Canis lupus familiaris: one gene and its partners. The protein of the gene in region 2 interacts with the protein of the main gene of each other region in a pairwise test. Links are inferred from orthologs where the notes say so. Each region holds a gene or a part of one and is shown on either strand. Other genes may lie near its edges.

Region 1 (10,683 bases), on a different chromosome or scaffold from region 2:
TTGGCCCAGGGCGCGATCCTGGAGACCGGGGATCGAATCCCACGTCGGGCTCCCGGTGCATGGAGCCTGCTTCTCCCTCTGCCTGTGTCTCTGCCTCTCTCTCTCTCTGTGTGTGACTATCATAAATAAATAAAAGTTAAATAAAAAAGATCCATTTATAAGAAAAGAATGAAACTTAGATACATCTTAAACAGGATCCACAAACTCTAAGGAATTCCCTATTTCTGTGTTGCATGTATGAATACGCTCATGTTTTCTTAATCAAGAGGTCACTAGCTTGGGCTTTATGTTTTTTTGTTAAAATTATTCTGTACTTTTTAGACGAAGGTGTGATTTACTATACTGACTGTACACCTGGAAGATAAAGATGATTTTTGAGTATCACATTCCACTTCCCCATGAGCGTAAGCTTAAATAAAATTAAGCCCTTAAAAAATGAGACAGGAAGAAAATGTTAGCATTAAGGCAAGTCATCCTTAAACATAACAAGACTCCGAAACGGTTGCAAGATAGCTATAATTGTAAATGTTCCCACAAACCTGCATGGCACAAGCCACCTAGATTCCTGCAGAGAAGCTCCTTTCTAGTAAAAAATATTCCTCTTGAAACCCGTAACTCCTCACTCCTCTTATCCTCAGTTGGATTCCCAAACACCCCTCTATTTTCCAAATGCTCGAGTTTTCCCAACTCAAATATGGAGCCATTAACTAAAGACCATGATTTGCATTATGTGGACAGATACTGACTGTACTAAAACCATGATTTCAAAATTAACAAGCAATTCTTGATAACATGAAGTTTCCGGGAAATTAAACTTAGATTTCTTCAAAACAGACTACTTCCTTATCAACCTTTTTACACATAATCTCTTTAGAAGCTAACCTGATAGGACTCTTCTCTCACATAAAAATGCTGTCTTCTATTTTCAACTTTGATAAAATATCTAATGAATAGTAATAGCTACTATTCATGGCATGGCTCCTGCAAACCAAGCATGGAACTAAAGTCATGATACACATTATTAGTTAATTTAATTCTCAGGGTAACAAAATGAGCTCTGTTTTACAGAAAGGACCCAAGTTCTGAGAAGTTAAATCTGCCCGAGGTTACCCAGTGTGCAAGCTGCAGAGCCCTAACGTGAATATGGATCCCTTTAGCTATAGCATCTAATGCTTCTACAGTATATTTATATTGATTTTTCATTTTGGCTAGTAATACAGTATCCGTTACTGCTTTGTCAATTTCTTGGTAAATCTGCTCACATTTTCTCAATATATTTACACAAAAGGTTTAACAGGTTCTACTGCAAAAAAATCAACTTCTCTATTATTCTAACACAAATACTCTAATTCTATAGTTGTATCACTTTTGAGATTCAGTAACAATTATTTTAAAAAACTAAATAAAATTAATTTTGTCAGGTTTTTCCAATATGTAGATAGCATGAATTCAAATCCTAAAACTTCAACATATGGTAAGAGAAATGTACAACTTGCACAAACTTCCCTCTTCTGTGTATTACTTTAACATTCTCTTTTGAACTATAAACTTCTATTTAGATCTCTGTTAGGTCTATTTAGATTTATAAATTTTACAGATTTACGTAGAGGCAAAAATCCACTTGCTATTAAAAAAAAATAACTGACATGGAGCGCCTGGGTGGCTCTGTCGAATAAGTATTTCAGTCTCGATTTTGGCTCAGGTCAAGACCTCAGGGTTGGGAGACCGAGCCCAATGGCTGGCTCCTCGCTCAGTGGAGAGTCTGCGTGCTCCTCCCCGCTGCTGCCTCCCACCCCCAATTAAACAAATAAAATAAAATCTTAAAAAAAAAAAAAATCGTTGACAGGTGAGGCAAGGTATAGATGGTGAACTTCCCTAGAAATATGCTAAGAGATTGTGAAATCTTTTACATAAAAGTAAAGTTACACCATTTCTAAGTATCAGGATTTCTGATTTACATTCCATTTCATTCAAAACATTGCAAATATACCCTGCAGGTTATATTATTCTTAAATTATATTTTTAAAGTCAGGAATTCTTACCATGTGGAGATGGGTTATAACAAGTTTTACAAAACTGTTAAATAGGCTGTACATATACAGGTATTACTTCTAATATCAAAACAGAAAGTACATATAAATACAAAATTCAAAAAGTGAGTCCAAATGTTTAGAATTGTATTCTTCATATCATACAGTCATAGAGTACTTTAAACAGTCATCAGATGCAGTCACACCATATTATCTGATCCTTGTAACACGACAACGGCTGTGAGAATACTACAGGTGCTGTTATTTCCTTACATTGAAAAACTGAGGCTTAGACTTGGGTCACCCAATAGGTAAGTAGCTCAGGGCCAGCCTAAAAAACGTGGGACATTTGTTAGTTCTTTTCTACCTTCTTTTCGACCATATCTACTACCTCGTTAGCAGTGGATTAAGTGGAATAAATGACACTGCCAGGAATTAAAAGCATCTGTCTAGATCCAGAAAAGCCTATTAGAAGAGAAACAAAGCAAACTAAAATGTTATACTACCTAATAACATTTATAAAACCCACAGGGACTCCAGTTAAAAATTCTATTCGTTATATAAAAATTAGTGAAAGGGAATAAAGGGAAAGGAGAGAAAATGAGTGAAAATATCAGTGAGGGTGACAGAACATGAGACACCTAACTTTGGGAAATGAACAAGGGGTAGTGGAAAGGGAGGTGGGCGGGGGGGTTGGGGTGACTGGGTGACGGGCACTGAGCGGGGGCACTTGTCGGGATGAGCACTGGGTGTTATGCCATATGTTGGCAAGGAAAGGGAGGTGGGTGGGGGGGTTGGGGTGACTGGGTGACCGGCACTGAGGGGGGGGGCACTTGGCGGGATGAGCACTGGGTGTTATGCCATATGTTGGCAAATTGAACTCCAATAAAAAAAAGAAAAATCAGGAATACGTAGTTAATACAGCCACCCCCCCCAAAAAAAAAATTCTACTCATTTTATTCATTAAAAATCGTATTCGGCTGTCACTGGCTGCCGCATTCTACTGGTTTTTCTTTTTTTTTTTAATATTTTTTTTATTTATTTATGATAGTCATACAGAGAGAGAGAGAGAGGCAGAGACACAGGCAGAGGGAGAAGCAGGCTCCATGCACCGGGAGCCCGACGTGGGATTCGATCTCGGGTCTCCAGGATCGCGCCCTGGCCCAAAGGCAGGCGCCAAACCGCTGCGCCACCCAGGGTTCCCCTACTGGTTTTTCTTAAGAATTTTTAACCCCCCCCCCCCCAAAAAAAGAATTTTTAACCCAACTCATCCAATAAATGTTTTTTTAAGCACCTACTATGTACCAGGTGCTATTCTGGGCACTACAAACAGAGTAATAAAACTTCAAAGCCTCTGGCCTCACTGAAGTTACATCCCAGGAGGAGGGAGACAAGGAATACATAAGTAAAATAATTAGTGTAGGGGATCCCTGGGTGGCTCAGCGGTTTTAGCGCCTGCCTCTGGCCCAGGGCGCGATCCTGGAGTCCCAGGATCGAGTCCCGCGTCGGGCTCCCTGCATGGAGCCTGCTTCTCCCTCTGCCTGTGTCTCTGCCTCTTTCTTTCTCTGCGTCTATCATGAGTAAATAAATAAATAAATCTTAAAAAAATAATTAGTGTATCTGATGGGGGCACAGCGTCTATACACAGAAACATTAAAAAGGAAAAGATCAGGAATGGGGCGTGTGTACCGAGGAGCGAGGGAAAGAAAACCCGTAGGATGCTCCGTACACGTTCACCTTGCAAAGTTTATCACCCACATTCAACAGCTGTGAAAGAAGTCATCAAAATACGAGATCTGTGGGAAGAGAATTTACACACTCCTGACATATTTCCATCGTCTCCTACTTGTCGGAACGAAAAGAGAATCGCTCAGGCTTCTTGGCACGGCTGTTGAGAAGCTGGATTCACGGCTCAGACCCTGTGGCTTCACGGGAAACGCGAGAGCACGGCAAAAAAGGAAAAAAAAGAAAAAAAAAAAAAAAAAAGAAAGAAAAGTTCGCGAAGTGGCGGTAGCGCCGGTGGGGGAGAAGAGTGCAGACAATCGGGCGCGCCGGACTCGTGGCGACCGCCCGCGGCCCGCGGCCACCGCCCTGCACGGAGGGAGCGGGCGCCCGCGGCGTGTGCCCCGCGCGCATCCCAGCCGGGGCCTCCGGGGACCCCCGCCCGCCCGCCCGCCCGCCCGCGAGGCCCGGCCTGCTCGGGTCTCCAGCCCTCGCCGGCCCCACGCACTCGGCGCCCGCCCGCCCGCAGCCAGCTCGTCAGCTCGTCAGCTCGTCAGCTCCGGGGCCGCCCCCGCCGCCGCCGGCCCCTCGCCGGCTGCCACGTAACCCTTCGCGGGAACCAGGAACTGCGCGGCGCGGCCGACGTGAGGGGCCGCGGACCGGCCGGGGGCGGGGGCGGGGTGTGCGCGGCGGCCCGGGGGGCGGCCAGGCCTGCCGGGGCTCGGCATCCCGGGGCGGGCGCGGGGCGCGGGGCGCGGCGGGGCCGGGCAGGGCCGGGCCGGGCAGGGCAGGGCAGGGCAGGGCAGGCCCGCACCTCCCCCCGTCCCGGGCCGAGGCGCCGAGGCCGGCAGCCGGGGGAGGCGCGGGCGGGCGGGCGGGCGGGCGGTTGAGGCGCGGGGCGGACTCACCTCGAACATGAGCCCCAGCAGGAAGACCATCGCCACACAGGAGACGATGTCCGCGTGATTCTGCAGGATGAATTCGTGGCTCAGGACCGGGGGGCTCTTGGTGCTCTTCTTGCGAATCGCCATGGCGAGGCCGCCGCCCGTGCCTGCAGGTGCTCGTCCCCGGCGCCGCTCTCCAGCTGCTCACAGACTGGCTGCCGCCGCCGCCGCCGCCGCCTCCCCCTGGCTGCTCCTCACCGCCCCGCCGCTGCCGCTCGCTGGGGCTTCACTTCCCATCCCACAGCCAGTACGCAGCCGCCGGGGCCGCCCGGAAAAAAAAAAAAAAAAAAAAAAAAAAAAAAAAGGGGAAAAAAAAAAAAGAGGCAAGCCCACAGCGGGGGTGAGCATGCGCACCAGGGAGACGGCGCTCGCTCGTGCCGGGGTCGCCCCTGCGAGCCCACAGCGCCCCCTGGGGACCGGAGGCCGTCGGCCCACGGCCGGCCTGGGTGGGGAATCGCAGCGGCGCGCCCACCCGCTCCGCTCGGCAGCTCGGCTCCTGGGCTCCGCCGTGGAGGTTGGGAGTCGTTTGAGGCGCGAGCTTCCTGCGCGTAGTTAACAGGCGGGGGCCGCGGGGGGCCGCGTGCTGTGGCGTGCGTGGCCCCGGGCGTCCCCTCGCGCCCTCCTGGCCACGCTGAGCCGGGGTGTCCCTGGTGAGCCAGAAGCGCCATCGAGGGAACCCAAACCTATGGCTGCAGCCTAACTACACAAGGGCAAGGTGCATTCTTCAGGTTTGGCATCTCAAAAGTCAACTTCAGGGTTATTTTAAACACTCTTGGGGACTTAAAAAGCAACGGCAACAAAACAACCCTAGAAAACAAACACCAAAACTATCTGTTTAAAGCTTGAACTACTTTCTGGAAAACACACACACACACACAAAAACACTTCCTACACTTCCTACTCAGCCTCATCCATCCATCCCCATCCCTCCCTGCGTCTCACCGAAGACAGCCAGGATTAGTTTGGGTTTACTTGCTTGATACTTATTAACAACACTTCTTAGTAATCTAGAGAGCTTGTTAAAAAAAAAAAAAAAAAAAGAAAAGAAAAGAAAACGGTTTGTGGACGAGACAGATCTTCCTCTCTCATCTTTCTGCCTAGACCAAGACTGCTTTGTATTCCTTCTCTTAAATTGCACCACTGTTTACCCATTTGCCAAACCTAGAAACCAGTCATTCTGGACTGATACCTTCCAGCATCCTTCCACTTCCGAACTATCATCACACTCGGGTAATTTTAACCCCCCCCCCCCCCCTTACCACTGACAGCCTCGGGGAGGGACTTGCATTTTGCCTACGATTTTACGACTCCGCCGAACTGCAGAGTGGTTTAAGACGATGGGTTTTTGAGTCAGACTTCTGTCGCTTATTACCCTGAATGACGGTGGACAAGTTACTTGACCTCTAATGAGACTCGATTTCCTTCTTTATTTATCTCTTCATTTATTCAAAGAATATTGAGCGTCTACCCATATGCTAGGCATTGGGGATACCGAACTGAACAAAAATGTCAAATTAGCCTGTTCTTAGGAGCTTTCATTCTAGAGAAGGGAGAGGATCTTTAAACAGGGTTTAAAAAGTGAAACATGTTGGGCAGCCCCGGTGGCTCCGCGGCTTAGCGCCGCCTTCAGACCGGGGCGTGATCCTGGAGACCTGGGATCGAGTCCCACGTCGTGCTCCCTGCACGGAGCCTGCTTGTGTCTCTGCCTCTCTCTCTCTCTCTCTCTCTCTGTGTGTGTGTCTCTCATGAATAATAGTAAAAAAAAAAAAAAAAACCAAAAGTGAAACGTTAAATTGAGATGAGGGTCCTGGAGAAAAATAAAGCAAAGGGAATAGGGAAAACATGGAGAAGTTACATTTACCTGAAGACCTGAAGGAGGCAGGGGACCAAGCCACGCAGCTGTCATCCATAAAGAGGAGACGATTGTAATTAAGTGCGATGCAAATTACATGAGATGATTCCAGGAAAGTGCTTAGTAGAGAGTTAGGGCTTTCTACATATTCGCTCTTACTCTTCTCCTTTCTGGTCAAATGATTACTAGTTTCACTTACCTCCAAATCACCTTTCAGTTTTTACATCAGAATGATGCATCTAACAGGTTCAACATTTTTTGTGGCTTTCCTTTTCCTTCATGGAAGGCTAGCAGAACTAAATAGCTCTTCATGATTTGGCCCCTGCCTACCCAGACAGGCTCAAACCCAATCTCTTAGTGCAACATTTCCAACTCCACATACTATATATTGTAGATCACGCTCTCTTCCCATGCTCCCGACAGTTTTATGCCTGCTGCTCCTTCTGTCTGGAATGTTTTCTCCTGTCCTCTGCATACACCCAGCGCACTCCCACTGTTCCTTCAAGTCTCATTCATGCGTGATTTTCTTGAAACCTTTGCTGACTTCTATGACTGATCTAGGCATTCTGTCTCTTGGGATTCAACCGTATTTTTTTTAAAAAAACAAATTTTAAAATTGGAAGTTAAAATTTTAAATTTTTTATAATTTATATCACAGAGTTCACCCATTTCAAGTGTATGGTTTGGTTGTTTTTAGTACATTAACAAAGTTGCACAGCTATCCCCATATTCTAACTTTAGAGCATTTTTATCATCCTCCAAAAAATCCTGTGCGCATTACCACTCACTCTCCATTTTCCCTCGCAGGCTTGGCAGCCCTTGGCAACCACTGATCTTTCTGTCTCTCTAGATTTGCCTGTTCTGGCATTTCATATATATAGAATTGTGGACTTTTGTGACTGGTTTCTTTCACTTGAGATAAGTGAGGGTTTTGATGTTCATCCATATTATAGCATGAATCAGTATTTCGTTCCTTTTTATGTGCAAAAATAATATCCATCATATGGATATATCACACCTTATTTATCCATTTATCAGTTGATAGGCATTCAGTTTATTTCCACCTTTTGATGATCGTGAGCAATGCTGCTGTGAGCCTTAGTGTATAAGTTTTATATGGACTCTTGTTTTCAATTCTTTTGGGTATATATCTAGAATTGCTGGTCATATGGCAACTTTATGTTTTACTTTTTGAGGAATTGTCAGACTGATTTTCAAAGGGGCTGCACCATTTTACAATCCCACTAGCAATGTCCGAGGATTCCAGTTTCTACTCATCCTTGCCAGCATTTGTTATTTTCTGTTTGTTTACTTTTCTCCATCCCAATGAGTTATGTGTCTTATTGTGTCTTAGACTTGCATTTCCCTACTAATGCTGTTGATTAGTAGTCTTTTCATGTGATCACTAGCCATTTGTATATTTTTGGAGAAACGTCTCTTCAAATCCTTTGCTTATATATGTTGGGTTATTTTTCTAAAAAATTTATTGAGTTAGGAGTTTTTAAAATATATTCCAGATACATGTCCCTTATCAGATACATGATTGGAAAATATTTTCTCTCAGTCTATTTGTCTTTCTGTTTTCTTGATGGTGTCCTTTGAAGCACAAAAGTTTTAATTTTGATGAAGCCCAATTTATCTGTTCTCTTTTATCACTTTTTCTTTATGTCCTAAGAAATCATTGCTTAATGCAAGAAGACAGTGATTTACTCCTGCATTTTTTTCTAAGAACTTAATAGTTTTAGCTTTTACATTTAAGTCTATGATAATTCAGTTGTATTTTGTACATCTTCTGATTGCATCTGTTTTCTCAGTAAAATATGAACTGAAATCATCAGGAGTGGGTATAGTACAATGGAGTTTGAAGAGAGGATGGTGTAAAACTGTGGGAGGGTGAATGGATTGGGGGAACATAATCAAACAGCAGAGCCTCCTTGAGACTTGGGGACATAAATTCTAATTGAGACTTGTCTCCAGTCACACCCCATGCTTGGATCCAGGGGAAGAGGAGGCAGAGAGCTGGGTTTTGCCAAGCCAGTATGACAGAGGGGCAAGGATGTTGAGGATATATGCAGATGAGGGCAGGGCTAATGGAGTGAATGCTGTGAGGGGTGGTTGTGCTCTAATCCTCTATTACCCTCCAGCCTACAATCCACCCTTTTCTGCTGTAAAAGGCAAACCTCTGCAGACTGCACCCCTGAGGCTCCCTTGCCCTCTGACTTCTCATTGAGTTTGGCCAAGGGAAGGCACTAGCCAAAAGTCAGAGGAGAGTTTTGGGGATTTATTGTTCCTTGATTCCTCCTTGCCTTACTTCTTCTGGCAGTGGCTGTGTTTTCCTGTGGTCATAGCCCCTTTCAGATAGCCTTTTTCTCACTGTTCCAGCTCTTCCTGGGCTCTTCAGGCTGTTGGTGGTCATGGCTTCCCACATTCCTAATCATTGGGAACTTTGTTCCCCCCACCTGCCCACTTCTCTGTGAACAGGCCCTTCATTAAACACTCTCCAGCTAAATCCTTCTGAACATGCCATCTATTTCTTGCCAGTTCTCTGACAGATGCAGAGGACAGAGAAACAGTGCTAGGGCCTCTGAATGGGGGGGTGCCCATGGGGTTGAGGATAGTTAGAGTGAGACTCATTTGTTGAGAAGGAAGGGGTAGGGGAGTGAGATGCTGAGAGTGAGTTGTGCAGTCATTGGCCATGAAATGGTAAGGGCACGATGAAGGGAGGGTGTGCTGTGGTGGATGGAGGAGGAATGCAGCAGAAGTGAGGAGTTAAGCTTAATAGTTTAAGGCTAGGGTGCCACACTTCACATGGAAGTTCAGTCACCAAGAATGACTGAAGGGATAGGATGGGAAGGAGCCAGGGAATGAGCCAGGTGCTAACGTCTGACATAAATGAAGAGGAGTCAGAGTTTAGTAGCTGATTGCCACAGGGGGATAGTGGGTGGTATATTTGGAGGGCATGGGCTTCCAAAAGAGCTGGCATTTTTCAGCAAGGGAGGAAAACTGTCATCAACCATAAGGCTCATGAAAAACACCCACTCCACCCCTGGGCTCTGTGGTATGTAAGGAGTGGGAGGGAAGAAACAGCCACCTCTTGACAAGGCATGAAGGAAAGCAGGTTTCAGTTTTCAGTTAGAGCTGTAGCCAGGTTTCTTAGTATGAAGGTGAAGAAGATATTCAGTAAGTGGTAGAAGGTGTGGAGGATTTGGCAGATGACACAGCTGGGGCCCTAGGGGGTAAAGTAGAAGGGTTGAGAGGCCAGGAGGGTGGCTTTTAGTTGAAATCATTAAAGGGATGAATAGAGTCATTTGGGGAAGAGAAGTTGGAGACAGTGGATGACACTGGAGGTTTGCTTCTAGAGGGTACCAAGGTAGAAAATGTTCTAATTCATAGTGGAATTATCCTGATGATCTTTTAAGGAGAAGCAGGGAATCTCTTCTAATTTTAACTTCCTTTTTAGGATTGATAAGAAGGGGTGACTGCCATTGAATCCTCTCAGGGTGGGTCATGGTAGTGGGGAAAGTGGTCTTACCAAGGTCCTTGGGGCTCTGGAGGCTTCTTTTAAACACACTGGGTGCTCAGGTATGTCCCACCCTGGAGGCCATCGTGTGTTCAGCACAGTGCTGATTGCAGTACTGCATGGTGTACAGTAACCACATTCTGGATAAGTGACTTTTTGGCAAATGTAGCTTTGGCCCTCAAATCTTGGGGTACTCAGGATATGTTCAATGATTTAGAAAAGGACAAAAGGCAGATTATAAAATCTTTGGCACAGGGTTACTCTAGTTAGAAATATGAAAGAAACAGAAAGAGTATCTTTGCCCTAGAAGGGGTTATCTCTAGTTGGCCATCTAAGACCTATATGAGGATGAAAAACTTGTGAGATGATGTGAGAGTAAAATGCAAGAAGGTGCCTGATAAAAGTGAGAACGAAAATGGGACTGTGATATTTCAACCTCTCCTAGATGCCAAAAGGATGAAGAGTGAGGAGCTATTTGTTGCATGCGCACCGCATGCCTACCACATCCTACCGGTATTTTGCTTTCACACAGGTTGTAGCATTTAGTCTTCACAAAAACCTTATGAAATAGGTGTTACAATTATAATTTAAAAATGGGGAAACTGAGGCTGAGAG
Region 2 (9,939 bases):
AAATGCTGTGGGGAGGCAAGAGGAGGGAGGAATGAGATCAGTCTAGGGCATGGGGCAGGCGTTAGTTAGAGAGCTTACAGAAAGGAGGTGCCATTTGCACTCAGTCTGAAGCCCGCACAACAAGGTCCCACCAGGGCAGAGGTGCACAGTGTGCAGGTTGAGGGAGGATGGCGACGTTTGGCCACTCACTTTGTCCTAGATCAAGGCAAGACATTTATCCTCTGAAGGCACTGGGTGCAGCTGTTAAGGTTTCTACTTCATACTCCCGTCAGAGACACGTAGAAGCCCTGAGAGAACTTCTGTCCCTAAGCCTCTCAGTCAACACTGGTTCCTCCAGTCCAGTTTCCATTCCTCTCTGATCCCTTCTTGCCACCCCTCATTTCCTCTCCCCTCATCCATGCCACCATTTCCTTCTGGATTCCTGCAGTGACCACCTAACACACCTCCCTGTCTTCAGTCTTGACCTCTTCTAATGCATTCTCCACACCAGAGCCAGAGTGACCATCTAATACCACATCTGCTCATGTCATTCCTTTATTTAAGACCCTGAATTAGCTTCCTATTCCTTTAAACTATAAGTCCCTTCATTTTGCTTATAGAACTTCTGTGCTCTAGTCCCTAGAGCTTCCTGAGATCTGAGCTCTGGCCATAAATGATTGTTCTTTGAGTCATGAGCAGGATGCAGATTGGCTGGCAGCTCTGTTCATCCCACCTGGGTTCACTCCCACATCTGTGGGACAGCTGATGGAGCCCAGGTTCATCTGGGAGATGCTGCTCCCAGGCTCATCTGGGAGATGCAACCCACAGGCCTGCAGGTTGGCCAGGTGACTCTGCGCCATGTGTTTTTTATCCTCCTCGCCCCCGCAGGTTAACTGGGACATACTCTTCTCATAGTGATGGCAGAGGTACAAGAAAGCAAGCCTGTAAGGGCAAGTACATTTTAATCTCTGAGTTAAGTCACATTGACTGGCCAACAAGTCACACTATGAGGGCTAAAGTCAAGATCAGGGGCATGTGGCCTGAGGAATGCATTTTTGTCAACAGTAAACTAATCCATCTTGGCTTAGATATTCTTTTCAGGAAGCATCTCCTGATCCTTAATCCAGTTGGGATTTGCATTCTGTTCTTCCTGATTGCTGCCCCATTTTATTTTTCTCACTACCCAATTAGACCATAAACTCTCTGAGGCAGTGACCACAACCCATCTTGGATAATCTGTGTACCCGGTACCACTGAGTAGGGCTTGGCTTATAATAACTACTCGATAAATATTTTGTATAGGAGTTAAGGAAGGGTATTAGCAAAGGAAACGGGGCCTTTCTGTGCCAAAAGGAGAAAATGGTCTCATCTCCACTTCAAACAGTCATGTAATGTGGCTGGCCCAGGGCTGAACTCAGCCTGCGGGGCACAGATAAAGAAAGTAGAATATTCCTCAGCCATTAGAAATGACAAATACCCACCATTTGCTTCAATGTGGATGGAACTGGGGGGTATTATGCTGAGTGCAGTAAGTCAGTCGGAGAAGGACAAACATTATATGGTCTCATTCATTTGGGGAATATAAAAATTAATGAGGGATCCCTGGGTGGCGCAGCGATTTGGCGCCTGCCTTTGGCCCAGGGCACGATCCTGGAGACCCGGGATCGAATCCCGCGTCGGGCTCCCGGTGCATGGAGTCTGCTTCTCCCTCGGCCTGTGTCTCTGCCTCTCTCTCTCTCTCTCTGTGACTATCATAAGTAAATAAAAATTAAAAAAAAAAGAACAATCCTTTAAAAAAATAAAATAAAATAAAATAAAATAAAAATTAATGAAAGGGAATAAAGGGAAAGGAGAGAAAATGAGTGAAAATATCAGTGAGGGGGACAGAACATGAAAGACTCCTAACTCTGGGAAATGAACAAGGGGTAGTGGAAGGGGAGGTGGGGGGGGGGAGGGTGACTGGGTGATGAGCACTGAGGGGGGCACTTGGCGGGATGAGCACTGGGTGTTATGCTATATGTTGGCAAATAGAACTCCAATAAAAAAAATTTTAAAAAGAAAGTGGAGAAAAAGGAGAAAGAAAAGATTATTTACTCCAAAAAGGCGATAAAAATGAGGTGAAGTGATGATACTAGGGATCAGATACCCATGCATGATGAAGTCTGTATGACCTTGGGTTTACACCCAGACCCTAGGAATGAAAACGAAATTTCTTTTCTTAGTGGCTGTGAGGGAAGGGCTGTGGTGTCTGGAGGGTTGGCTTAATTTTGAAGGGACTTTCAAACCTTGAGATTATGCATCAGGTGTCAAGAAGCTTGTCCCATCAAAGTCCCATGAGCCACCCTCTCTGGAGAGATCTTTGAAAATTGATAGCTTCTTGAGAAAATAAATGTATGTTTCTTTCTTTCTATCCCTTCACAGTCCTACATATGATGACCTCTGCTATGTCGCATAGGCTCACAACATTATTGCTGAGTGAATGAACATGTGAGTGAATGGATGAATAAGTTATTTGTGTAGTTTCCCTACCCCATGAATTCAAAATTCCCAGTTGGTGATTTCCACTTGGCAAAGTTTGAGAGAGAGTGATTGTCGTTTCTGTGCTCAGGGGATTGCCTACATATCTGGTATCACAAACGGAGGACTCACCTTGGCCAGGTAGGGTAGATAACTGCATTCAGAGGACACTTTCCAATCCTTTCCCATGTGTATGTTTTTATGAATATAAAAAGGGATGCAGGGAATGTGTCAGAATAGCAAATCTCTACCAAGTTTCCTGGCTAGAGAGTAAGCTTCCTCTTGAAGAGCTGTGTTAGCTTTTACTCTGGGCTAGGAATTTTCAAAGATGTCATAGAAACCACGTATTGCAGATGAAGGTTTTTATTTGTTGGTAGGAATTGCTGAACTTTCAAATCCGTCAACTGCTTTCAGCATTAGCAAGCCTATTGAGTTAATACCCCAATATATCTGCACTAAATTTATAGGGCTCTGGTAGTTTTATTGGCAACCTGTGGTGAAGGGCAACAGCAGCGAGAGAGCTCTCTAGAGTCTGTTTGACTTGTGTGAAAAGCTGGAGAGAAACTGCTATTCTGTTGAAAGCTTTGAGCATTTTCTCTCTCTCCCTGGGGTGCGTGTGCGCATGTGCACCCATGCACAAAATAATATTTTGGTGCCTTGTTACAGCCAGTCTAAATCACAGAACTCTGTTTTATTAAGTTTGACCCAGCCATATGTTGTTACTCAGAGAACTTAACACCAGATTCCATGTGACTATAAATGTGATTCGTTAGGTTGCAAGAGCAAGACTGTGTGAGATCCAGCCAGCATTTAATATTAACAGCATTTTAAATTACAAACAAACAAACAAAAACCACTTAGATATGTAATTAGGTTGTGGTGTTGTAAGACCTGAATAGCTTGATGCTGTGTTTTCTTGGCATGTCTCCAACTTGGGCTGACTTTTCCCCTATTAAAAATGTAAATATTTTCCAGGATAATACTCTTGGTCCTGACTACTCATGATACATGATTCTTTCTAAAAAATTTCAAGCTTGATAAGAGTTGTTCTGTATTTTTCCCATTGGTGGTGGGGTGGGGAAGACAGTGGTCAAAAGAAGAAATGACATTTGTCTACATTTCCTTGTGTCCATTTGCCCCGTATTTTTCTGAGCATCTACTGCATACATGGCGAGGGTCGAGGCCGGCAGGTTGGGCAGATCGCTGTCTCCAGGAATTTGCCTGGTGCATGTTGGTGTGTGCGTGTGCGTGTGTGGCTCACAGGTCCAGGGGTGCTTGGGGGCAAGAACCAGCATGCACTCATCCAGAGAGGAATTTCAGGTTGTCCTAGAGCCAGGAGGAAAACAGAGTAAATGCAAGAGGACAGGTAAAAACCACAGGACCTTGAGGTGACTGCCACCCGTGGCAGCAAAAGGCCCTTCAGAGAATGTGGCTCTGGAAAGAGCACACAAGTAGAGGAACAGTAAGTATAAACACTTGCATCTGGTAGTAAAGAGCCCAGTTTCTTCAAGCTCTTTCTTAAAAAGCTGTTTTTGTTTGTTTCTTTTTTTTTTTTTTCCCCCAGCATGGCTAAAGAGTATGAGGTAGCAGAGAGAGGCAGGAGGAGCCCTGAGAGGTCGGCAGAAGCCACATCAGTTAGACCTTGAGAGCATGGAAAGAAATTCAGATTTTATTCTGATTAAATGGAAAACACTGGGGAAAGTCTGAAGGAAGGGAAGTTCTTGAACCACTTTTATACTTAAAAAAAAAAAAAAAAAAAAGACCTCCCTCCTACATGGCCATATGGCCTCTGTTCTCTTTTTAGATACAATGCTAACAGTGGGGAATAGAACCTTATTGGAATCAGTGGAAGGAAATCACTTGTATAGCAAATCCTGAAATGGCTCTTTAAACAGGGAGATAGGTTGGCCTACAGGTGTCTTTGGAGTTTCCCTTACTTTGGTCCCTGCTGAGGGGTTGCAGCAGCTCTAGGGCTTGCGCTACTCTAAAGTGGTCCCTCTGTGTGTCTTCCCACCCACAGTAACAAAGGCATGGAGCATCTGTACAACATGAAGTGCAAGAATGTGGTGCCTCTCTACGACCTGCTGCTGGAGATGCTGGATGCCCACCGCCTGCACGCCCCAGCCAGCCGTGGGGGTGTGCCCATGGAGGAGACAAACCAGAGCCAGCTGGCCACCACGGGCCCAACTTCATCACATTCCTTGCAAACGTATTATATCACCGAGGAGGCAGGGAATTTCCCTACCACAGTCTGAGAGCTCCCAGGCTACCCCAAGGTCCTGAGAATCCCTGTACCATTTTACCCACGTCATGTATCACAATAGCAGAGTTCTGCTCCTGCGCACACTCCAGCATGCATCCACCACCATGGCTTTCTAATATGAGTGGCCATTTGTTTGCTTGCTCAGTTCTTAGTGGCACGCCTTCTTTTGGGAACAGCCAAAGGGATTCCAGGGCTAAATTCTTTCACTCTCTCTCTCCCTTTGCTATAATACTAAGCATGAGGATTCTATAGCTTTTCATGATGGAACTCAGTCTATGAGCTGGGACTCAGGTGACTGTGCATTTAAGCTACTTGTTGAGACCCAGACCTGGAGAGTGGACATTTCATCTCTGTGAAGCACTTTTTAACAAATCTAAGAAAAAGCCACAGGAAAGACTTGAAAGTGGCCCCTTTAATTTGCTGACTTGGAGAAAGCTAGGTCAAGGGTTCATTATGGCATCATCTTGTATTCCTGTAGTAATGTAACATTTTATTAAAGTAATACCTTAAAGCTTTTGCTCTGTTGCATGGCTGGAGCTGAATATGCAGTGATTGTCTCTTCATTTGCCCTATAGGAATACAAGATGCCCACAGAGAAGGAAGGTCCCCTAATTGTCAAAACTCTGTCAACTTAATACACTGCACCTTCAGATTTGCTGAAAGCTCTTCCACTGGTTTTTGAGAACACTATGTACAGGTCATGGGTTCCAGTTAATTCTTGCTTCCCATGGATCTATGGAAAACAGCAAGTTGATCCCAGTTAAGTCACCTCCACATATACCAGTTTCCTTTTAAGGGATAAATTCTTGGCCTTTGTTTTTTTGTTTTCATTTTATGAAAGAAAGCCCTTTCCCCGCAGGACTTGTAAATCAGCTTCAGAACCTGTTCTAGCGTGGTCTCACAATTACCAGCAGAGGGCGCTCTGCTTGGTTCTTCCTGGTGTGTAACTGACACAGAAGGTCAATTAGTAATAGTGCCCAGCATATGACCAAGGGCAGTTTAAATGAGTGGGTACCTGGTGACATCGTTAGCCCTAGGGCACTTGGGTAAATAGTAAACGTGCACAATTATTGTACATATTAGAGAACAGGAGGAAAGTAGGGTGGAAACTAAAACTGAGAGGCTCACGGTGGCTCTGCCACATGCTGTAGCTTTACACAGGAGTGGCCCTGGCAGGCCCTGTGTGCACTGTGGGGCAGCCCTGGGATCCATGGGCAGCCCTCCTCTTCTTGCCCCCATGATTGGAAGGAACAGCAATAGACAAGACAGCTGCATTCCTACAGCTGGCCCTGCACGTGGTTAGGTGAGGCTGGAGGGTGAGGATAGGAGGCTCACTACTCAGGCTGCCTGGGATCTGGTCAAACTTTACCTGCTCTTGGTTGTTTAGAGCTCATCCAAAAACCACGGTTTGGTCTTGGAGAAAAAACTTTACCCAAAGCTCATTTCATTAAACTTCATAAGCCAAGAGAGCGAGATTAGAATTGGGCTATAGGAATCCTTTGACCTATAGGCTAAACAAGAAAGACTCACTCCAGCCACAGGGCAGCCTTCCCTAGGCCTTTCCTTCTCCAGATCATCTATGGTTTATCTTTCTTCTCAGTGAGTTTGGTTTCCTCTGGTGACCTCATTGTCTATAACTCAAACCCCATTGAGAAGTGATGGGTTAGCGAACAACCCAGCCAAGCTTCTAGGGCTTCTCTTGGGATGCCTGTTTCAAAAAATGGATTTCTTTCATTTTTGATTACTTAGTAAGTGATCACCAAAGGACTGGGAGCCTGGGAGGGCCAAAAAAAAGTTTTGTTTTTTTTTTTATATATGCGCATCTGAATTTAGGGGCAATATTGTGTATCTGCAGTAAGAATATGTTTAGAACATAATTCTTTTGTTGTTGTTTTGTTTAAGAAGCACCTTATATAGTATAATATATATTTTTTTTGAAATTACAATGCTTGTTTATCAGACAATTGAATGTAGTAATTCCATTCTGGATTTAATTTGACTGGGTTAAATGTGCAAAATCAACAAAAGATATTTAGTTTTTTTGTATAGCTACCTTGTCATGTATGCAGTCATTGATGCCTAGGGCCTGGTGATTATTCATTTTAATGAAGATCACATTTCATATCAACTTTTATATCCACAGTAGACAAAATAGCACTAATCTAGATGCCTATTGTTGGATATCGAACGATAGACAATCTTATGTAGCAGAGATTATGCCTGCAAAGGAAAATTATTCAGGGCAGCTAATTTTGCTTTACCAAAATATCAGTAGTAATATTTTTGGACAGTACCTAATGGGTCAGTGGGTTCTTTTTAATGTTTATACTTAGATTTTCTTTTAAAAAAATAAAAACAGACAAAAAAATTCTAGTACTATAGATGATGTAATACCAGCTAAATCCAAACAATAATGAAGTGGAGGGTTTTGCATTATTCATCTAATGTGTTTGTATTCATGTTAAAGATACTACTACATTTGAAATGGGCAGAGAACACCAGATAGTTGGAATGTTAGCACAGCAAAATTCAAATAATTTTAGATATCTCTTTTTATTCTTATTTGAAGTGCCACTAATGGACAGCTGACACTTAGCAGCTGATACTGCTGTTGGGGGTAGGGAACATGTTGAATTCCGCCCCCCTCCCCCACTCTGAGGCAATTTAAGTTTTGAAAGACGTAATCAACCTGGGGGGTTAGGGTAGGGTGGGGAAGTAGGTTCAGGAATTTCAAGACTGGGAAATACAGTAATAAGAGCCTTGAAATATTTTGAGGCAGATCAGTTCTGGCACCTGGAGTATGAACCAGAGTTCCATATTCCACTTGTGCCCTGTGAACTACAAATGACAAGCATTTCTAAAATGGCAGCTGGAATTCTATGGAAGAACAAGCGTCCGCACAATCTACGGAGTAGCTAGTGGTCTGGGTTTCTTTTGGCCATTGCCTAGCTCCCGGCTTGCGGTAACGATTCTGGATTGCTGTCATGCAACAATCAGAGAAGCTAGTTCATCCAAAGAGAAGACCCTACAGAGGTTGCAAAATCCAGCCCCTAAGGAAGGGCAGTCATTGGTTAGATTTTCCGATGAACCTTGCAAGGCTATCTAACCATGCCATATCCCATACCTTTTGGGGACTGAACAAATAAGGGACTTACTGATAATTTACTCTTGATCACATTAAGGTATTCTCGCATTAAAATCTTATACACTGAAATGGCCATTGATTTAGGCTGTTGGTTTAGAAACCAATTTCAAATCCCTTCCTATTCATACTTTCCCACTCTTAGATGGACTGTGGATGCCGGGAATGATCACTACGACTGTAGTAATATCTAATATTCACAGGCAAATCTGCTTTGGGAAACTAGTTATTTGGAAGGCAGATAGTCATATACTAGTTTCTGAGGCAATCCTGCTTCCCTGTGGTGCAAGTCTTGGGAGGATGATCCAGATTACACTGCACACTTCCTAGGTGAACTCCCTGAAAACTTACTCTCAACTGGAGCAAATGAATTAAACTGTGGTCCCAAATATTCATCTTTTCACTACTAGTGTAATTTCTCTCTTTCTAACTGCATCTCCTTTTCATTTGGATTAAAGTGAGTGTGGCCTCTTTCTATGTCGTTTATAATTGTTTTCTAAGTAACTGCTGCCTCTATTATGGCACTTCAATTTTGCACTGTCTTTCAGAGATTTGAGAAAAATTTCTATTCTTTTTTTTTTTTTTTGCATCCAAATGTGCCTGAATTTTTAAAATATGTAAATGCTGCCATGTTCCAAACCCATCTTCAGTGTGTTTGTACAAAGCTGTGTACCCTGGAAACAACATACAGCCCCATGAGCAGGTGCCTGAGATGTGGACCCCTTTGCATTCACAGAGAGGTCATTGGTCATAGAGACTTGAATTAATAAGTGACATTATGCCAGTTTATGTTCTCTCACAGCTTATAAACAATGCTTTTTGTGCACAACATATTCTTCAATGTAGAGCTCTTGTTTTATGGGAAAAGGCTTACATGCCAAATCGTGTCTGATGGTTTAATATGCCTTTTCGCTGATGCATACTATTATTGATGTGATTCTGTTTTGTTGCAGCCTTGCTTTGTTTACTGAAACACACTTGTAAACCTCTTTTGCACCTTTAAAAAGTAAGGAATCCAGTGGGATACTCAAGCACCTGTAAACAATTTTCTCAATCTATTTGATGTTCAAATAAAAAATTAAACGAATGATAATGGGCTTATTTTTTGTAAACTTATTTTCTTGCTAATGGCTTACCACTGACTGCCTCAAATCAAGGTGATGGGATGCAGTGAATCCTGAAGATCACTCTGATGATCTTCCTCCCAGGCTCCTTCCTCCCAGGCACAGGAGGAAGTGTGTGGACATCTGAGGCAGGCCAACCTGGCCTCACTTCTCGGCTCTACCACATACAAGGTTTATGATCCTTGGCAATGAATTTGTCAGAGCCTCCACTTCCTCATCAACAAGATGGTTACAGTGACACCTAATTCACAGAGTGGTTGTGAAGATTATATGAGGTGTTCTTTAAAATAGTAGCTTTCTAATGGCTAACCTTATCCCATTCCCTGTAGGGGAGAAGAAAGAAGCTTGAGAGTAATTACTCCTGAATGAAGAAGTGCAAATTGGAATGAACAATCTGAAATTTACATGATTTGCTCAAAAACCAATTTTTTTTAATCATGACCTTAAAGCAGGAATGACCAGTACATTGCCTCCCCAACCCACCCCATCCCACCCCACTCCACCCTAGGGTTTCTGTTGTCCAATGGCTGCTCCCTTTTCAGAGCTACCTCTTGCCCATTTTCTCTGTAATTTAATGAATGAGTTGAGGGAAACTAATGTGACTAATTAAGAGGCAACAGAATACAGCAACGCAGGCTCTACAGCTAGATTACTCAGTTTGAAGCTTCATTCTACCATTTCTCATGTGACCTTGCACAAGGCAATTTCCCCATGCCTCAGTTTCTTTGCCTATAAAAAGAGAAAATAATAGCACCACCTGCCTTGAAGTGTTGCTGTGAAGACCACAGGGGTTAACACAGGAAGCATTTACGGACAGTGGCTAGCACTGCTCTGCTCTCCCTGAGTCCTCTCCCATGCCTGTCTGTACTCACTTCCTCACTAACAGGAGTGTAGGTTTATCACACTGAGTCACT
Region 3 (10,550 bases), about 65 Mb from region 2:
CTGCGCCACCCAGGGATCCCTCGTTTCTATTTTTTAAATATTTTTTTCTTTATTTATTTATGATAGTCACACAGAGAGAGAGAGAGAAAGGGGCAGAGACACAGGCAGAGGGAGAAGCAAGCTCCATGCACCGGGAGCCCGACGTGGGATTCGATCCCGGGTCTCCAAGATCGCACCCTGGGCCAAAGGCAGGCGCCAAACCACTGTGCCACCCAGGGATCCCATGGTTTCTAATATATACACTGTAACACATCTCTTTTATTTTTATTGGTTACCCTTGAAATTTTACCATACACGTTTAATTTAGCAAAAAGTTAAACAAGATCTTAAGCACTCTCTCAAATAATACAAAGAGCATATAGCAGCTTACCTCTGTAAAACTTCATCCAGATAACCAATTAGATGTTGCATTCATGACTTTTTTATGCTTTCATTGAATATTTTTCTTATTTTATGCAGTGTTTATTTGTAATTACATAAGTATTTATGATTCATTTCTCTCCCATTTCCTTCTTGCCTCTCAGACCATCCTTTCAACATAATTTTAAATTTGCCTCCTTCTTAAAGTACATCCTACTGGAAAGTTGTTTCTTTCTTTACCACACTTCTGACACCAAATGTGTGGGGTTTCCATATCAAGCAATTCTCCAGTTCTCTGTGGACACCAAGTGGATGTCTTACAAGTCAATTCATTTCTGACACTAACCACCTGGAGTCAGCATAGATCTGGAAGGTCAAGGGGATCGCTGGGTGGCTCAGCAGTTTAGTGCCTGCATTTGGCCCAGGGTGTGGTCCTGGAGTCCTGGGATTGAGCCCCAGATCAGGCTGCCTACAAGGAGCCTGCTTCTCTCTCTGCCTGTGTCTCTGCCTCTCTCTGTGTATCTAATGAATAAATAAATAAAATAATTAATAAGTAAATAAATAAATAAGTTTCCCATTGAGTTGGGTTTTTTTTCCCCAACAATTATATAAATTTCTCCCAAATCTGCCTACTCTTTCTCCATATTTTCTTGATAATGGGCTGATCTTTATGATTGTGTTAGTGGCAAGCTGCTTCTAAAATGATTCCCAGTGATCTCCACCTCCAGCTACTCAGTATCTTTTCTCTTTCCGGGTGTGTGCATGGGACCTGTAGCTTGCTTTTAACAATGGAATTTATCGGAAGCAGTGGGATGTCACTTCTGAGATTAAGTTATAAATATTATGACTTCCATCTTGCTTGCATTTTCTCTTCTGTCGGTACTGTCTTGCTTGTTCTGATATAGCCAATGCTATGTTGTGATGCACCCAAAGGGGTGGTCCTTGGAATTGAGGACAGTCCCTGGCCTACAGCCCATGAAGAACTGAATCCTCCTAATGATTACAAGAGTACAGAAGCAGATCCTTCTCCAGTTCTGCCTTGAGATGATTACAGGGCTGCCTGATGCTTTGATCGAAGCCAGTGAGAGACTCAAACATACGAGCCAGTGAAATCAGAATTGGATTCCTGATCTATAGAAACTCTGAAATAATTAGTGTTGTTTTAAGCCACTACGGTGTTTTTTTTTTTTTTTTATTGTATTTATTTATTTGAGAGAGACAGAGCATGAGTAAGGGGGAGGAGGCAGAGGGAGAAGCAGTTTCCCTGCTGAGCAGAGAGCCCAATGTAGGGCTCGATCCCAGGACCCTGAGATCATGACCTGAGCTGAAGGCAGACCCTTAACCAACTGAGCCACCCAGGTACTCCTTAGGCCACTAAGCTTTGAGGTAATTTGTTACACAGCAAAAGATAACTTAGATAATGTCCTTTATTTCTCTCAACACTTTGCACATTATGGTACATTATGAACCCAACCATTGCAGGACCTAAAGTCCTGGAGGTGGGGATGTCACATCTGTTAACTGTTCTTTCTGTGGACTCTAACTTATAGTCCTTGCTTCTGCGGTGGTGGTCTTTGATCTGAACTCATTACCTGCTATTGACCGGAGTTCTATAAGGAGTACTGACTTCTACTTTTGCAAATTCTCAGGAATGTTACCAACCTGGAACGAGTTCAACTGCCCTGGGATGCTCTTGCTTAGCTGGAGAAAAAGACTCGGTTTTCCAATTCACAGCTACATTCAGGTTCTGTAATGCCAATGCAGCCCCTTCCCTGTGCAGGCAGTTCTATGCCAACATCCCCTTTTTTGTTAATTTTTGGCTGTCTTGGGAAGCCCCTGTGGCTTAGCGGTTTAGTGTGGCCTTCAGCCCAGGGCGTGATCCTGGAGACCTGGGATCCAGTCCCACGTTGGGCTCCCTGCATGGAGCCTGCTTCTCCCTCTGCCTATGTCTCTGCCTCTCTCTCTCTCTCTCTCTCTCTGTGTGACTATCATAAATAAATAAAATCAAAAAAATAAAAAATAAAAAAAATAAAATCTTAAAAAAATTTTTTTGGCTGTCTTTTGGGGGGACAGTGGGGAGGGATTCTTGAAGACCTTTCATGAGGTCTACCTTTTAAGAAACCACCAATGTTGCAAAAATAGTATTATTACACCTAATCCATCATAATGCTAGAAGCTGAAGTCCAGGCTAAAATATCTAATTGTTCATTTTTACCATTTGTAATATATTAACAGAGATGTATTAAAAATCAGTTAAGGGTGCCTGGGTGGCTCAGTCAATTAACCGCCTGGCTTCAGTTCAGATCATGATCTCAGGGTCCTGGGATCGAAACCCACATTGGGCTCCCTGCTCAGTGGGGAATCTGCTTCTTCCTCTTCCTGTACCCTTCCCCCTTTCCTTGTGTGTTCTTTCTTTCTCTGTCTCAAATAAAATCTCTTTAAAAATCAGTTAATAGGGATCCCTGGGTGGTGCAGCGGTTTGGCGCCTGCCTTTGGCCCAGGGTGCAATCCTGGAGACCTGGGATCGAATCCCACGTCGGGCTCCCGGTGCATGGAGCCTGCTTCTCCCTCTGCCTATGTCTCTGCCTCTCTCCCTCTCTCTCTCTGTGACTATCATAAATAAATAAAAATTAAAAAAAAAATCAGTTAATACAACCAGTCATACATTCAGCTTATCTAAAGAAAAGTTTCCTTTTACTTAATAGGGTGGATTTTAATTTTAGGAAGTATTTTAATCGTCTTACCTGTTGATCATTTTTCCTTTCTCCAATTTAATCTTCCTTATACTTTTATGTGATCCCTGGGTGGTGCAGCGGTTTAGCGCCTGCCTTTGGCCCAGGGCGCGATCCTGGAGACCCGGAATCGAATCCCACGTCGGGCTCCCGGTGCATGGAGCCTGCTTCTCCCTCTGCCTATGTCTCTGCCTCTCTCTCTCTCTCTATCATAAATAAAGAAAAATTAAAAAAAAATCTTCCTTGTACTTTTATTAAAATTGAATTACACTGGCATAAAAAAATGGGAGCTGCTTTAAATTAAAAGAAATTTAAGAGAGAAAAAAAGAAAAGAAATTTAAGAGTTATAATGTCTAAATATGTTTTTGGCCTTTGGATCCTAATGTAAATAAAACAATTGAAGAAAGACATTTTGAGAATCAGGGAAAGTTGACTGTGGATTCGTGTTAGATAATACCAAGAATAATTTTGTTAGGGGTGATAATGGCATAGTGGCTATGTAAGAAAATGTCCTCAAGGTTTTTTTGTTTTTGTTTTTTGTTTTTTTTTTGTTTTTTTTTTTAAGAATTTTTATTTATGGGCAGCCTGGGTGGCTCAGCGGTTTAGTGCCGCCTTCAGCCCAGGGCCTGATCCTGGAGACCTAGGATACAGTCCCATGTCAGATTCCCTGCATGGAGCTTACTTCTCCTTCTGCCTGTGTCTCTGCCTCTCTCTCTGTGTCTCTGAATAAATAAATAAAATCTTTTAAAAAATGAAGTTTTATGTATTCATTTGAGAGAGTGTGAGCACAAACAGTGGGAAAGTAGAGAGAGAGAGAGAGAAGCAGACTCCCTGCTGAGCTGGAAGCCTGGCTGGGGCTCCATCCCAGGACCTAGAGATCATGACCTGAGCCAAAGGCAAGCCGCTCAACCATCTGAGCCACCAGGCTCCCCATCCTTAACTTTTTAGAGAGGTTTGCCAAGCAGATAGAGGTAAAATGATGATGGGATGTTGGGACTCTGCTTTAGAAGGCTTCAGCAGGCACATCTGGGTGGCCCAGTTGGTTAAGCGTCTGCCTTCTGCTTGGCTCAGGATACCAGGGTCCTGGGATTGGGCCTTGTGTAGTCAGTCAGTCTCCCTGCTCAGTGGGGAGCCTGCTTCTCCCTCTCCTCCCTGCTCCTGCTCTCTCTTGCTATCTCTGTCACTATCTCAATCCGTCTCTCTCAAATAAAGTCTTTAAAAAGAATAAAAATAATAAAAGACTTCAGCAAAGAAAATTAAAGCAAAAAGGGACGGATAAGGTAAATGTGACAAAATGGTGATATAACTGTATGCAAGAGGAATGCACCCTTTTATCTTGAAGTACATTACCAAACGGCAGGAGGGCAAGTTATGCTGATTTACAGCCCCTTCTAGACTATGTCTGAGCCCAAACTCCCCCGACTTCATTGGCATCATTCTTTCCGATATTAATTAGCACGACAAAAGCAAAATGCTTTTTAATTGGTGAAGATAAGCAATTTTCAGGGGTTTAATTGCCATTTTAAATTGTTTTGTATGGGAGAAGAGAGAGCCTTCATACCAGTAAAAAAAAAAAAAAGTATTTCTCTTTTCCTACGTTTTTATTGATGAGTAAGTTATATTTATGTAGTAAAATTTCAGTCAATACATGTTACAAACGACTTTCCCAGTTTATCATATTTTTTTTTCAACTTGGCTTATGGAGCCTTTTGAACAAATTGATCAATATTTTACGTTTCCTGGCTTTGCTATGATGATAAACTCTTTTCCCAGTCTTCAGGATTATGCGGTGTGTTCCTTTCTTCCTTCAGCTATTTTTAAGGTTTCATTTGTTGCATTTACATTTTTAATCCACCTGGAATGTATTTATGTTCTAGGCTAGTTTCTGGCCGCTCTCCCAGAAAACAACAATCAGGTGTTGCCTAGCAACCGCCACTTGGGTTGGAATTGGGCTTCTTTGAGAGGGAAGAACAGCTGCACTCCCCTCCGAGTGGCCGGCAACCCCAAGCGTTGCCTAGTAGCGCCATTTCAGAGGATGTGATTGGACCCTTCACACGACCCTCCCCCCATCTCTCCGCGGCAGAAAAAAATTAACCAGAAACCTAATCTCGCCGATAGAAAACTAGGGCAGCGTATGCGTTGCATAGCAACCAGGTCTCCGGCCCCTCCCATTGAAACCAGAGGCGGAGCGGGCGCCTCGCTCAAAGATGGCGGCCGACTACGGCTCTCTCCATGTATGTCACTCTCCACAGTCCTGACAATGACCCAATCTTCCCCGTCAGGCCCCTGAAGGGGTTCGCTATGCTCTTAATCTTGCACGCGGCGGGTACCTACGAGGATGGAGATAGAACCAGCGCGCCCTGCGTGCCCCGCACAAACATGGCCGCGGGCGCGCCGAGCCGCGGCGCTAAGACGTCCCGCGCCGGGGGGCGCGCAGCGCAGGCGCACTTCCGCTCTTTCCACAGCGGCTGCGGCGGCCGCGGCGGTGGCGGCGGTGGCGGCTGCTGCGCGGGGCATGGTCCCCGGGTCGGAGGGCCCGGCCCGCGCCGGGGGCCTCGTGGCTGACGTGGTGTTTGTGATCGAGGGTACAGCCAACCTGGGGCCTTACTTCGAAGGGTTGCGCAAGCACTACCTGCTTCCGGCCATCGAGTGAGTGCCGTTTCCCCGACTTCCAGCCCGGCCCTCCGACTTTAGTTTTCCACAGTCTCTTGCCTGACCCCGACCTTTTACCTCCGACCCTCGCAGGTATTTTAATGGTGGTCCTCCTGCCGAGACGGACTTCGGAGGAGACGTGAGTCTTGGGACTCCTGAGTCTGTAGAAGGAGGGAGGCGGGGACCGGACTCCTGAGTCTGAGGAAGGAGGAGCCCGGGGACCGGACTCCAGGGTCCGAGGGGCGGAGGGGGCCGGGGATGGACTCCAGAGTCTGAGTGGGGAGGAGTCCAGGACCGGACTCCTGAGTCGGAGGGCGGAAGAGCTGGACGGGAGTTCCAGATGAAAAGTTCCTCCCTCCTCCTCTCCCAGTATGGGGGTACCCAGTACAGCCTCGTGGTGTTCAACACGGTGGACTGCGCTCCCGAGTCCTACGTACAGTGTCACGCTCCCACCAGCAGCGCCTATGAGTTTGTCACCTGGCTCGATGGCATTAAGTGAGCATTTTCTTGTGTTAGGGGGTGGGTTGGGGGACCCTGTGAGGGACCATGAACGGATGGCGGCTTGACTTGAGTTTCAGGAACCGTCGCTCACACTGGGTGGCTGAAAGGACTGAGAGGGATTGTTTTTGTCCATAAGTCACTTCTGTGGTGGGTTCCGTGTGCTCAGCGTTTTTGCCCTCCGATGTGGAAGTAGAAAAATCTTCTCAGTTTGGGAGGCCTGTTGAGCTCCAGCTCCGATCTCGTACTGTGTGGTTCTCCGCATTTGGTCGGCTGTTCCTCATCTCCACCGTAGTATTCCTATTTCACATGGGCCTCTTGAAGCCTGAGTGCAAGGGGGGCGTGGGGCCTAGGCCAGGATAGATCTCTCTGTGCTCTGAATGGGATTTGGAATGTTCACATTGCAGGCTCCCGCGGGTACAGATAGCCTGTGGTCATATCACAGCTAAACCATCAAACTCCCAGACCCAAGAGTCCCTGCTCCCTTTGTGCCTAATGTAGTTTATCTCTTGTCGCTTTATTTATTTTTTTTAAGATTTTATTTATTTATTTATGAGAGACACAGAGAGAGATGCAGAGACATAGGCAGAGGGAGAAGCAGGCTCCCTGCAAGGAGCCCAATGCGGGACTCGATCCTGGACCCCAGGATCATGCCCTGAGTCAAAGGCAGATGCTCAACCACTGAGCTACCCAGGCGTCCCTATCTCCTGTCTCTTTAAAGGGGGGGATTAACATTATAGTACTTGTGTTAATTATTTATTGTGTTATTTATTCTTTGTTGTGTAACACATTATCCCAAAACTTAGTTGCTCAAAACAATAAACGTTGATTATCTCATGCCATTTCTGTAAGTAAGGAATTCAGGACTGGCCTAGCTGGATAGTTCTGGCTCAGGGCCTCATGAGGTTGCAGTCATGCAAGGGACCAATTTGTTTTCAAGGTAGCTCACTCTGTGGCTGGGGGAATGTTCTCCTGACGTGGCAGCTGGCTTATTTCAGACGAAGCAACACAACAGAGAGGGCAAAGAGGAAGCTACAAGAGTTTTTATGATCGAGTTTTAGAAGCCACACAGCGTTGTCTCTGCCACATTCTGTTTGGTAGAGAAGTCAGTCCTGTTCAGTGCAGGGAGCATGAGGGGAGGTGAATCTCAAGGGTGTGAATAACAGGAGGTGGGGATTGTTGGGGGTGGGGGGTGCTAGCTACCATGACTTCATAGGCATAGGCATTCTTTGGGAATTGAATGAGTTAGTTGGCTACTACTTAAAACAGCACCTGACATGTATTAAGTGCTATGTTAGTGTTCACTGTTGTTTCATGCCTGTTTCTTGGTTTGTGAATAGATAATGGTAGTTCAAATGTCCATGCTCTCTGGAGGATCACAGGAACTAATTTTCCTATGGTGCCTTCATACTGCCTAGCCCAGGTCTGGTCTGTGGTTAGAGTTCATGAAACGGCACTGGTTCATGATGGCTCTTCTCTTCATTCGTTTGTACGGCAAGAGTTTGCTACTTAGCAAACTGAGTGCCTGCTCTGTTCCAGGCTATGTGTGTGCAGGACTAGGTGCTGCACGCCCACTGGGAAGTTGACACCCAAGTTTGACCCCTCATGGCCATTAGAACTAGTAGTCAGGACAGAGTAGGATTTCCCAACCTCAGTACTGTTGACACTTTGGGCCAAATAATTCATTATTGTGGGGGATTGTCCACATGGCAGGATGTTCAGTAGCCTCCCTGGCCTCTAGCCACCAGGTGCCAAGAGCCACCTCCAAGTTGTGACCAACAAAAACGTCTACAGATGATTGTCAGCTGTCCCCTGAGGCAGGGGGTAGGGAAGGACAAAATCCACCCCAAATGAGAAGTACCGAGATAGGTTGTTTTAAGACATGAATAATGGTAAGACGGGACTCCCTGATGCCCAAGTTCAAGTCTGATGTCTAAGTCCCTAGCGCCAAGCACAAGGTCTGGCACCAGGGCGGTCTAAGGAGAACTGGGTGGAATGAGGGAATATGTGAGTGAATGCCCAGAATGCATTTTATATATATATATATAAATTTTTTTTTTAAGATTTTACTTATTTATTTGAGAGGGAGACAGAGTGTGGCAGAGGGAGAGGGAGAAGCAGACTCCCCTCTGAGCAGAGAGCCTGAAGCCGAAACCTGGGCTCAATCCCAGGACTCTGAGATCATGACCTGAGTCAAAGGCAGATGCTTCACTGATGGATCCGCCCAGGCGCCCCCTGAATGCACTTTATACTCTGATTCTTCCCAGTGAACTATAAGCTTCAGGACCCAACTCAGAGGTCCCTTCCCTGATGCTGGCAAGCAGCCATCACTCCCTCCTCTGGGCCTGCCCCTCCCAGCCGTCCCCTGTCGCAGCCCCATGCCTCTGGACTATGAATGGCTAGGTCCCTGGTGGTCCTTCTGCTTTTTGTTTCCAGCTGGGGCCTGGCACTCAGAAGGTCTCAGAAGACCTTGACAGTAAATAAATGAGTGAAAGCCATGAAGAAGATAATCACCAAGAAACCAAAGCTTCTGGTAGGTGTTGACAGGTCAGGACAAGCAGTTAAACCCCTTTATTTGAAACTTCCCAGAGGCACCTGGGTGGCTCCATTGGAAGAGCATGTGACTCCCGATCTCGGGGTTGTGAGTTTGAGCTGCACACTCAGGTGTAGAGATGACTTAAATAAGTAAAGAGAAACTTCAAAATAAAATAAAATAAAAAAACCTTAAAGATGGACAAATAAATCTTTCCAGAGCCCCTGGAAGATAAGAGGGAGATACTTTTTGAGCACATTCAGCATATACCCACACCTCCTCCTAAATCAGCTTAGAATACACTATATCTTTAGCCAAATGAAAAAGCTTTGTATGCTGTGTGCTCCCTGCGGAATTCTCCCAATCGGTTGATAAACATTTTAAGCCATTTACATTGGCAGCAGTCAGCGGTTTACCAAGTCCTGTGTAACCACCTAAATTCAGTTTCTGTGACGTTGCCGGGGGAGTCTGGCAAAGAGATCACAGAGTTGGCGGGTTTTGTTCACGCCCTGAGAAGAAATCTTATCTTCTCCTGGAACGTCCCTAACTTAAGGAACAAAGTATGTAGTGTGATCTTTGAAACATCCTTGCTTTGGGAAGATTTATTTCTGATGTTCCAATTCCTTTCTTTCAAGAGGGGTGGGGATTGTTTCCTCCTCCCCTACAGCGATTGACCCAGAATCAGAAAGAATAGAGGTAGAAGGAAAAGAGCCCTGAGTGTGTTCTCCCTAGCACTGTGACAGTCTGTTTGTTCATTCATTCACTCCTTTTCACAAATGTTTGTGGAGGAAACTGTCCTGAGCCCTGAGGAACTGGGGACCTAAGACAGGCCAAGCCTGGCTGCTGTTCACATTCACTCATTTTGATCATACCTCAGTGGGGATGAGGACCCTCCAAAGGCTTATTACCCTGTGAAAGTGGGCACTGAAGACTCCAGTGGTTGTGGGGGGGAGGTGTGGGCATCAGCAAGAGACCTGGGGAAGCAGTAAGAATCAGAGCCCACCTGTAGCACCAGGGCACGTTCATCTTCATGTTTGCACCATTGAAGACTTTGCTTGGAATTCAGGTTCATCATGAACTTTATGATATTTAAAATATATTATGTAACTGACCAGATTTTTACTTCTCCCCATTTTCAAGTGTTTCTCATTTCCCAGACGAAATATTTGTTACATATCTCTCTGAGCACGGAACAGACAGCCTACACTCAGGAAGGGAAGAACAAGTTTTAGGATCTCAGGGTGATTGATTGGTCACATTTTCCCTCATAAGTTACTTTTTTAAATTGAGGTAAAATTCACATAACAGAAGTGATTGTTTTAAAGTGAACAATTCAGTGGCGTTTAGTATGCTTACGCTGTGCAACCACACAGCCCCAAAACACAGTTTCATGCCCCTAAAAGGAGACATGCACACATGACACAGTTGTTCTGTATCTTACCCCCTGCACTCCCCCCTAGCCTTCTGGCCAGGCCCAGCCAGGGCACCTTTGGCTCTAAAAGGCTTATGAAAATAGTGGTTTGATTTATTCAGGAACAGGAAGCAGCTGCAGAGTGGATGCAGGGTTGGTTTATTCGTTGGGGTCTACCCCAACTCTGGCCTTAAAGTTCTGGTGCAGAACAGAGTCCCTGTGGTGAGGAAGAGAAGGTCTGGGAGCAGGGGGTGGGGGTAAGGAGCAGCAGCATAGCATGAATGCCCTGAGAGGGGGAAGGAAGGCATCGGGGTCATGGGGCCTAGCGGGAGAAGAGGGTGGAAGCCTGCAACTGGAAAGAATG

The links.
Region 1: the proteins of ESR1 (region 2) and TRAM1 interact in a two-hybrid assay, tested with the Homo sapiens proteins (2 studies listed by BioGRID). The link is inferred for Canis lupus familiaris from reciprocal best matches to the Homo sapiens genes ESR1 and TRAM1.
Region 3: the proteins of ESR1 (region 2) and MED25 interact in a two-hybrid assay, tested with the Homo sapiens proteins (2 studies listed by BioGRID). The link is inferred for Canis lupus familiaris from reciprocal best matches to the Homo sapiens genes ESR1 and MED25.

Annotation. Positions count from the first base shown.
Region 1 is NC_049250.1:20,181,018-20,191,700, forward strand, and holds the start of TRAM1 (translocating chain-associated membrane protein 1), read right to left. Parts: upstream 5,001-10,683; 5' UTR 4,784-5,000; coding exon 4,661-4,783; intron 1-4,660. UniProt on the Homo sapiens protein: Involved in the translocation of nascent protein chains into or through the endoplasmic reticulum (ER) membrane by facilitating the proper chain positioning at the SEC61 channel.
Region 2 is NC_049222.1:42,766,620-42,776,558, forward strand, and holds the end of ESR1 (estrogen receptor), read left to right. Parts: intron 1-4,516; coding exon 4,517-4,751; 3' UTR 4,752-8,988; downstream 8,989-9,939.
Region 3 is NC_049222.1:107,410,568-107,421,117, reverse strand, and holds the start of MED25 (mediator of RNA polymerase II transcription subunit 25), read left to right. Parts: upstream 1-5,550; 5' UTR 5,551-5,607; coding exon 5,608-5,741; intron 5,742-5,837; coding exon 5,838-5,883; intron 5,884-6,114; coding exon 6,115-6,239; intron 6,240-10,550. UniProt on the Homo sapiens protein: Component of the Mediator complex, a coactivator involved in the regulated transcription of nearly all RNA polymerase II-dependent genes.